Ovis aries: one gene and its partner. The protein of the gene in region 2 purifies or fractionates together with the protein of the main gene of each other region. This does not show direct contact. Links are inferred from orthologs where the notes say so. Each region holds a gene or a part of one and is shown on either strand. Other genes may lie near its edges. The genes, in order: KLHL9 and FBXL17.

Region 1 (4,563 bases), on a different chromosome or scaffold from region 2:
ACAGCTATTTAAAAAGATAAAGAAGTTCTCTATAAATGACTAAGATCTCCAGGTTAAAAAAGATAGGTGCAGAACAGTGAGTATAGTATGTTATCTTCATATTTTCATCAGTTAGCTGATACATAAAGAAACTGGAAGGATGTATAAGACAGTAGTAACTTCAAAATGTGGAAAGTGTTGGAAGCAGTTGTCAAAGTATACATTTATTCATATATCCAAATTTAAATTGACTAGTAATTTTTAAAATATAAGTTAATCAACTATATTTGAATTTTTTAAAATGTAAGTTTTAAAATAACCATTAAGGGAAAGATCAGTAGTGGGATAAATATACACTCAAAGTGTTGACTTTAAAAAAGTACTTAAAAAGAGTTGTGAGTTAAGTTTTATTGGGGGCAAAATGAGACTATTGCCCTGGAGATAGCATTTCACATACTCTGGGAAGCTGCTCCAAAGAGGTAGAGGGGTGGTTGGTATATATGTGATTTTAGTGAAGAGAGGGGTATATGCAATCAAGCATGTTTTTTTGCAGAAGGTTTTGCTAGTCACGAGGGAGCAGATATCACCATGAAGGAATTTAGTGCTTTTCTAGATATGAGGAGATGCAAAAATTGTGCTCCTAAAATCAGCTCCTGAAAATATCTATCTGAAGACCTGTTCTGCCAGTTTTTCCAGAGCACAAGAGTGCCTCCTTTCTGATCTCCACTCTGAACACCCATCAGGTGGTGTTGAAGGTCAGCAGCTACAACAGCAGGAGAGATTTATTCAATCCTTGTAGAGGTAGATGGCAAGTGCCAATGAAAAGTGCCAATATGTAGTTTTTCAAAACATCTCTGGTGACAATATTTTGCAAAAAACTTTGTATGTCTTCAAGCAGCATTCTAACATTAGGATTTATCCCAAAATGGGAAGTTTTGTGCTCGGAGTCTGTAACATTGGAGAACAACGAAGTATATATTCAGGAACAAATGACAATTGTCTATCCATTTAAAAACTTGTGAGTGGAAAACAAAAGCACGAAAAATTTACTGATGGAATTCTGCTGCATGGCAAAAATTCAGCCTATATTATTTACATAGCATGGTCATAATTTGGTATTTTAAGAGAGGCAAATAACCTGTTTTAAATGATTAAAATCTGAAAATATGTACCCAGAGTTATACTTGAACTGTCTATTAAATTGTGTGGGATAGGTTTTTTGTTGGTTTTTTTTTTGGTTGAGGAGTTTGAGGGATCTTGGTCTGCAGCCAGGGTTTGAACCCTGGCCACAGCAGTGAAAGTGCCGAGTCCTAACCACTGACCTGCCAGAACATTCCCAGTGTGGGATAAGAATTAATAAAGTTTGTTTTTTATAGAGGAAAACTAAAAGCATCTTTCCCCTAAGGAAGCCTTCTGCCAGGTTTCAGCTTCCAGAAAAGCTGCATTTCATTGTTATCCAAAAGGCAGAAGCCAAGAAATGTAAATCTCGAAGTATTCATTTAGAGGAACAGCTCAGCTGCAGTGAAAGAGTTATATTAAAAATAATATCCGGGCACCCATTCCTATTTAATAATACCACATACAAAGTATCCCGAAGACACCCCGCTGGCCCACCCAGCACAGCTCTGCGCGACCCAAACCCCGCCTGCTCGAGGCACGGCCCACATCCTCCCATCCCCCACACAAGCCCGCCTACTGGCTAGGTCGGGCGGCTGCGCAGCCGCAGTAGCTGCCACGGCCGCTCCTAGCCCGGGGGATCCTGGGACGAGGCCTTTCCGGAAGGACCGGCTCGGCGTTGGGAGCTCGGCCCGTGTTCCAGGCCCAGGCTCGTGTTCCAGGTCCTTGCTCCAGGACGGGCCGGTAGCCGCGGCGACGCTCAAAGGGCGGCGGAGGGCGCGGCGGGCCGCTCTCTGAGGTGCCGGCCCTCGCCGTCGAGCGAGACGCCGGGCCGCAGGACGTGGCGGCACCTCCCCCTTAGCCCGGAGCAGAACTGCGGGAAGAGCAGCGCAGGCCGGACCAGGTGAACCGGGTCACTTAACTGCCTCAGGTGATGAATCATCTACATAGTAGTCAGATTTGAGGTCCACAGCCCTCTGTGGGCCAGCTGCAGAACAATTTTCAATGTGGGACTATTGTGTTCTGAGGCGTGCTGCAGTGACAGTTTGCCCTTGATAAGGAAAGCGAGCTCTCTTGCTCTTGGGACATCCTCGTTTCCTTTAAAGCTTTCCGGTCGTAACCTCTTTGTCCGGCATACATCTTTGTGCAAGAGGAAGGCGTTCACATGAAAGTGTCTCTTGGTAACGGTGAAATGGGCGTCTCCGCCCATTTACAGCCTTGCAAGGCAGGAACCACACGTTTTTTTACCAGCAATACTCACAGTTCGGTGGTACTGCAAGGTTTTGATCAACTTAGAATAGAAGGATTGCTTTGTGATGTGACTCTGGTGCCAGGTGATGGAGATGAAATCTTCCCTGTTCATAGAGCTATGATGGCGTCCGCTAGTGATTACTTCAAGGCTATGTTCACAGGTGGAATGAAAGAACAGGATTTAATGTGCATTAAGCTTCACGGAGTGAACAAAGTTGGTCTGAAGAAAATTATTGATTTTATTTATACTGCAAAGCTTTCTCTTAATATGGACAATCTTCAGGACACTCTTGAAGCTGCCAGCTTTTTGCAAATCTTGCCTGTTTTAGACTTCTGTAAAGTGTTTCTTATTTCAGGAGTCTCTTTAGATAACTGTGTTGAAGTTGGACGAATTGCTAACACCTACAATCTTATAGAAGTAGATAAATATGTCAATAATTTCATTCTGAAGAATTTTCCTGCCTTACTGAGTACTGGAGAGTTTCTAAAACTCCCTTTTGAACGGCTTGCCTTTGTGCTTTCTAGCAATAGCCTTAAGCACTGTACTGAACTTGAGCTCTTTAAGGCTGCCTGTCGCTGGCTAAGGTTGGAAGATCCTCGGATGGATTATGCTGCAAAATTAATGAAGAATATTCGATTTCCACTGATGACACCACAGGATCTCATCAATTATGTGCAGACAGTAGATTTTATGAGAACAGACAATACGTGTGTGAATTTGCTTTTGGAAGCTAGCAATTACCAAATGATGCCATATATGCAGCCAGTGATGCAGTCAGATAGAACCGCCATTCGATCTGATTCGACACACTTGGTTACATTAGGAGGAGTTTTGAGGCAGCAGCTGGTTGTCAGTAAAGAATTACGGATGTATGATGAGAGGGCTCAAGAGTGGAGATCTTTAGCCCCCATGGATGCTCCTCGTTACCAGCATGGCATTGCTGTCATTGGAAACTTTCTTTATGTAGTTGGTGGTCAAAGTAATTATGATACAAAAGGAAAAACTGCTGTTGATACAGTTTTCAGATTTGATCCTCGATATAATAAATGGATGCAGGTTGCATCATTAAATGAAAAGCGCACATTTTTCCACTTGAGCGCCCTCAAAGGACATTTGTATGCTGTTGGTGGGCGAAGTGCAGCTGGTGAGCTGGCCACTGTAGAATGTTACAATCCAAGAATGAATGAGTGGAGCTATGTTGCGAAAATGAGTGAACCCCACTATGGCCATGCTGGAACAGTGTATGGAGGCTTAATGTATATTTCAGGAGGAATTACTCATGACACTTTCCAAAATGAGCTCATGTGTTTTGACCCTGATACAGACAAATGGACACAGAAGGCTCCAATGACAACAGTCAGAGGTCTGCATTGCATGTGTACAGTTGGAGACAAGCTCTATGTCATTGGTGGCAATCACTTCAGAGGAACAAGTGATTATGATGATGTTCTAAGCTGTGAATACTATTCGCCAACTCTTGACCAGTGGACACCAATTGCTGCCATGTTAAGAGGTCAAAGTGATGTTGGAGTTGCTGTCTTTGAAAATAAAATCTATGTCGTAGGTGGATATTCTTGGAATAATCGTTGTATGGTAGAAATTGTCCAGAAATATGACCCAGAAAAGGATGAGTGGCATAAAGTTTTTGACCTTCCAGAGTCACTTGGTGGCATTCGAGCTTGTACTCTCACAGTTTTTCCACCTGAAGAAAATCCTGGGTCACCTTCCAGAGAATCACCTCTTTCAGCACCTTCAGATCATTCTTAGGACCAAGGTGTAAAACCTTTGCAGTGCATCAAGGATGATCCCGTAATTCCCCTTCAGTTGTATCTTCTTACAATGATTGGTACAGTTATTAGATTAAAAAGGTAATTGATGTTATTTGTATTGTTTGGCTTAGTATGTTTATCAAATGGTTAACAACTGTATTCTGCAAATGTATGTGTTCAACATAGCTATTTTAACAAATGTAAAAAGCAGAAAAATTGTTAGATATCTTTTTGTGGTGTTGTGTAAGGCAGAGTGTAGGTGATTGAAGTAAATGTATAATTATGTTCATTATGCTTCAAAGTTGAAAGTTTTCATCTTTGACTACAAGACATCAAAGGGAGGATGCCTACTATAACCTAAAATAATAAACAAAAAAGGTCGTCAAGCCTTATTAGCTGCTTCCCTTTTTTCATGGTTTGTGACATAGCTGCTGACTCACCAAATTG
Region 2 (4,435 bases):
TATTAAAATGTCCTCTACCTCATGAAATAATGACAGTTTAGGTAGAAAGTGGGAAGTATCTGCTTTTTACTTTGTTTTTAAACAGTCTTACTTACCAAATAACAAGACAGCAATCAAACCTCTATGCCAAATATCTGTGGATATTTCATTTGTCCATGTTGTCCACTAAGTTAAAAGATTCAAGAACATTCCCTCTGCCCTAAAATGCACAGCCTGAACATACAGAGGCAGTAATTACTCCTTCAAAAATACACTACTGAAAGGTAAACAACTTCAGTTCAGTTGCTCAGTCGTGTCTGACTCTGTGACCCCATGAACCACAGCACGCCAGGCCTCCCTGTCCATCACCAACTACCGGAGTTCACTCAGACTCAAGTCCATTGAGTCGGTGATGCCATCCAACCATCTCATCCTCTTGGACATGTGGAAAAGTTAAGCTTTCCCAGTTCTTTGCTATATTATTTACAAAAATATTAATATCACAGTAAAACAAATCCAAGCACACAGGATTATAAACATGCAAAAAGTCCAATCAAAGTATATTGTTCAGAATAAAAATTATAATTGATGACAGCTACTTCAATAACAATAAAACTAGCCAAATTCTTATCTAGGTTTTTCTAGTTAGTCTTAAATATCATCCACAGTGATAAAGGGGGTTTATATTTATAAGCTCCAGAAAGCTGCAGTGTGGGGGTGAGAGAGGAGAGAAAATGAACGGAAAAGAAACTTTTTAATACTAACTTACTACAAAGTATCACGTACTTAAATTCATCACTGCTGCTGCTGCTTGACAAAACTGCAAATTTTACTTGGTAGCTGAAAGTGGGACCAGGTTTCCACGGGATATCTACCTCTTCCCCACACACGTATCCCCCCAACAAAAAATACACTTGTCCTTACCGTCTGGTAATCTGTCTGCATTACCTAAGATAATAGAACATAGCATAAATAAAAGGGTTTTCAAGTCAGACAGGCCTAAACTCCGCAGATCTGTCTGTGTGTGACCTTGGGCAAGTCATTCAGCCCCTTGAAGCACCGCTGGCCTGTAAGCTCCACAGGAACACACACCACGTCGGCCTGACTTTCGACTGTAGGCACTTGCGCTGATACATCGGTTTCTTCTTGTGTAAAGATGTTAACAATATTTCTTTCATGGCGTCAACTGAAGGATTCGGTGAGATATTATGTATATAAAGCTCTGGCACTGTGCCTGATCATCGTGGTCAAGTGCTCGATAGATAAAAGGTAACTGTTTTTTGACATCAGCTAGCAGTTATCAAATCTGAAATTACTGTCTGAACACTTTCCAACACTAATATACAAGTCTTTACTCGGTTAAGTGCAAACCGCTCAAGGGATTAAAAAAAAAAAAATTTTTTTTTTCTTTTTTTTTTTCACAGAAAACCTACAGTTTCTACAACAGTGGGCTTGGGACTCTCCTAGGTGAACCGGGATTACGCGCAGCAGACCCAAGCGATTAAAAGGACCTTCAGCGGACTCCAAGCCCCTGCACCTGAAATAACCGGGTGTCAGGGAGGCCCCCCCGCGGGGCGTGCAGCAGAGAGAACCCCCGAGCGGGCCCGGCGGGGGGTGGGGGGCACGCAGACCCACCTTAAGCAGGATGGAGGGCGGCAGCTGGTTGATGTCCGGGGCGTCGGGGGGCGGCTCCCTGTGGCAGTCGCACGGCGGATCGGGGCCCTCCGGACAGTCGGCGTCGCCGCACTCGTGCTGCTGCTGCCGGGCGACCGAGGGGGCGGCGCCCCCCGCTCGGACCGCGTCCCCGCCGGCCTCCGCGGGGGCCCCTCCCGGAGCGGCGGGGGAGCGCGGGGCGCGGAGCGGCGGCGGGGGGTGCTGCTCGGGGCCGCCGCCCGCAGGCCCGCCGCCGCCGCCGCCTCCGCCGCAGGCGCCCCCGCCGCAGCGGGGCTGCTTACAGGGGGTGCAGGCGGGGACCCCGGCCCCCTTCCGCTTGCACACCATCTCGGGGGGCGCAGGGGGCTCGGCCGGCGGCGCCCGGAAGAGCCGCGAGGCGGCGGGCGGCGCGGGCGGACGCACGGGCCCCGCGCGGGCCCACAGGAGGCTCCGGGCCGGCCGCTCCCGGGCGGCGGCGGCGGCCGGCCCCAGCTCCCCGCGGCCGGGGGCGGGCGGCGCGGCGACGGCGGCGGCGGCCGAGAGCAGAAGGCGGCGCGCGGCGTCCTCAGCGGCCAGGCCCGCGCGGCGCCGCGCCGGGGGCTGTGAGGAGGCGGCCGCGCCGTAGGCCCCGAGCGGCCGCGGCGACGACAGCGGCGGCTCCTCCTCCGGGCCGGCGGGGGCGGGCGCGCCGGGGCCGTGCACGACGAGGCAGAGCATGCAGGGCCCGCGGAAGAGGCAGTCCCGGCCCCGGGGCGCCGCCGCCGCCTTGGCCGGGGCCCCGCGGGGCCACCTGAGGAGAGGCCGGCGGCGGCGGCGCCACCAGCTGCCGCAGCGGGGCCGCTTCTGGCGCGGGCGGCGGCGCGGCTCCTTCGAGAGCAGGAGGCCCATAGGGGAGGCCCCGCGCAGGGGCCGGGTCAGGGCAGGCCGCGCGGGGGTCGGCCTCGGGCCCGCGGGCACACGCGGGCACACACACACACGGGCACACACGCGGCGCTGGGGGGCTACATGCTCTGCCCCGGGACGCCGGGAGACCACGGCGGGGCGCGAGCTCTTGGGACCCGACGGAGGCCGGCGAGCCTGCTGACCGCGCGGCTGCTCGCAGCCTGGGCCGCCGCCTCAGTTGGTCAGGGCGGCGGCGGGGGAAGCGCGGGGCGCGCCTCAGACCACTTTAACGGCGGCTCTGCCGGCGGCGGCGCGCGCGCCCGCGGCACAGCTCGGCGCGCCGGGAGCGCGCGGCCCGAGCGGGAAGGGGGCGGGGCCGCGGCGGAGGCGCGCGCGGGGAGGCGGAGCGGGAGCGCGCGGCCCGAGCGGGAAGGGGCGGGGCCGCGGCGGAGGCGCGTGCGGGGAGGCGAAGCGGGAGCGCGCGGCCGGATCGGGGAGGGAGCGGGGCCTCAGCGGCGGGGGGGCGGCTCGGGAGCGCGCGGCCCGCTCGGGAAGGGGGTGTGGCCGATCGGGAAGGGGGCGGGGCCTCGGCGGCGCGCGTGGCCGCTCGCCCCCTGAGGGCCGCTCGGCCGGGCCCGCCGTCACGGGTGCGGGCTCACCGCCCCCTGTCCCCGTCGCCCGCGGTCTCCCGGAGCCCACGCCCCCTTCGTGGGACCGGGGGGAGCCGCCTCCGAGCTCGTCGGGTGACGTCCGTGGGCACAGTCGCGCTGACGTCGCTAGGCGCACGTTCGGGAACCGCCATTGGCCGGGAACCGGCGCTCTCACCGCCCGACCGGACGCCGAGGCCGCTGAGGAGACCCGGTCCCGCCCGAGGCCAGCCCGGGTGCCCGGCGTGCTCTCCGCGAGAATGGTTCTCCCGCGAGGGACTCACGGGTGGACCGGCTCTGCCGTGTTTCTGCGCTTGTCTGCGGACACCTGTTGCTAGGGACGGACCGGCTTTCCCTAAGTGCATTTCAGGATAAACGCACTTATCAGGTAATTTCAATTCAGTCGCTCAGTCGTGTCCGACTCTTTGCGACCGCATAAACCGCAGCACACCAGGCCTCCCTGTCCATCACCAGCTCCCCGAGTTCACCTAAACCCATGTCCATTGAGTCGGTGATGCCATCCAACCATCTCATCCTCTGTCGTCCCCTTCTCCTCCCACCTTCAGTCTTTCCCAGCATCAGGTTATTTTCCAGTGAGTCACTTCTTCACTCAGGTGGCCAAAGTATTAGACTTTCAGCTTCAACACCAGTCCTTCCGATGAATATTCAGGACTGATTTCCTTTAGGATTGACTCGTTAGATCTCCTTGCAATCCAAGGGACTCTCAAGAGTCTTCAACACCACAGTTCAAAAGCATCAATTCTTCGGTGCTCAGCTTTCTTTATGGTCCAACTCGCACATTCATACATGACTACTGGAAAAACCATAGCTTTGTCTAGACGGACCTTTGTTGGCAAAGTGATGGCTCTGTTTTTTAATATGCTGTCTAGGTTGGTCATAGCTTTTCTTCAAAGGAGCAAATGTCTTTTAATTTCATGGCTACAGTCACCATCTGCAGTGATTTTGGAGCCCCCCAAAATAAAGTCTGTCACTGTTCCTGCTGTTTCCCCATCTGTTTGCCATAAAGTGATGGGACCAGATGCCATGATCTTAGTTTTCTTTCTTAGTTGAGTTTTAAGCCAACTTTTTCACTTTTTCAGGTTATTTAGACACACACAGATAAACACTTTCTCAACCCAGTTAGCCATGCAGCATCCCAGGCCGCACAGCTATGGAGGACTCCATCCTCTGCACCCATCGCTCCATCCATCACGCACAGGACTTTTAAAAAATGATTGCTTACTGCTTGCTCAGAGATAAAGGGCTCTAGGTGG

Evidence for each region.
Region 1: the proteins of FBXL17 (region 2) and KLHL9 purify together in Homo sapiens (co-immunoprecipitation; 3 studies listed by BioGRID and IntAct, with this or other methods). This does not show direct contact. The link is inferred for Ovis aries from reciprocal best matches to the Homo sapiens genes FBXL17 and KLHL9.

The regions. Positions count from the first base shown.
Region 1 is NC_056055.1:89,892,443-89,897,005, reverse strand, and holds the start of KLHL9 (kelch-like protein 9), read left to right. Parts: upstream 1-1,730; 5' UTR 1,731-2,260; coding exon 2,261-4,114; 3' UTR 4,115-4,215; intron 4,216-4,563.
Region 2 is NC_056058.1:104,988,344-104,992,778, forward strand, and holds the start of FBXL17 (F-box/LRR-repeat protein 17), read right to left. Parts: upstream 2,839-4,435; 5' UTR 2,521-2,838; coding exon 1,615-2,520; intron 1,501-1,614; exon of another isoform or gene 1,404-1,500; intron 1,249-1,403; exon of another isoform or gene 1,042-1,248; intron 1-1,041. UniProt on the Homo sapiens protein: Substrate-recognition component of the SCF(FBXL17) E3 ubiquitin ligase complex, a key component of a quality control pathway required to ensure functional dimerization of BTB domain-containing proteins (dimerization quality control, DQC).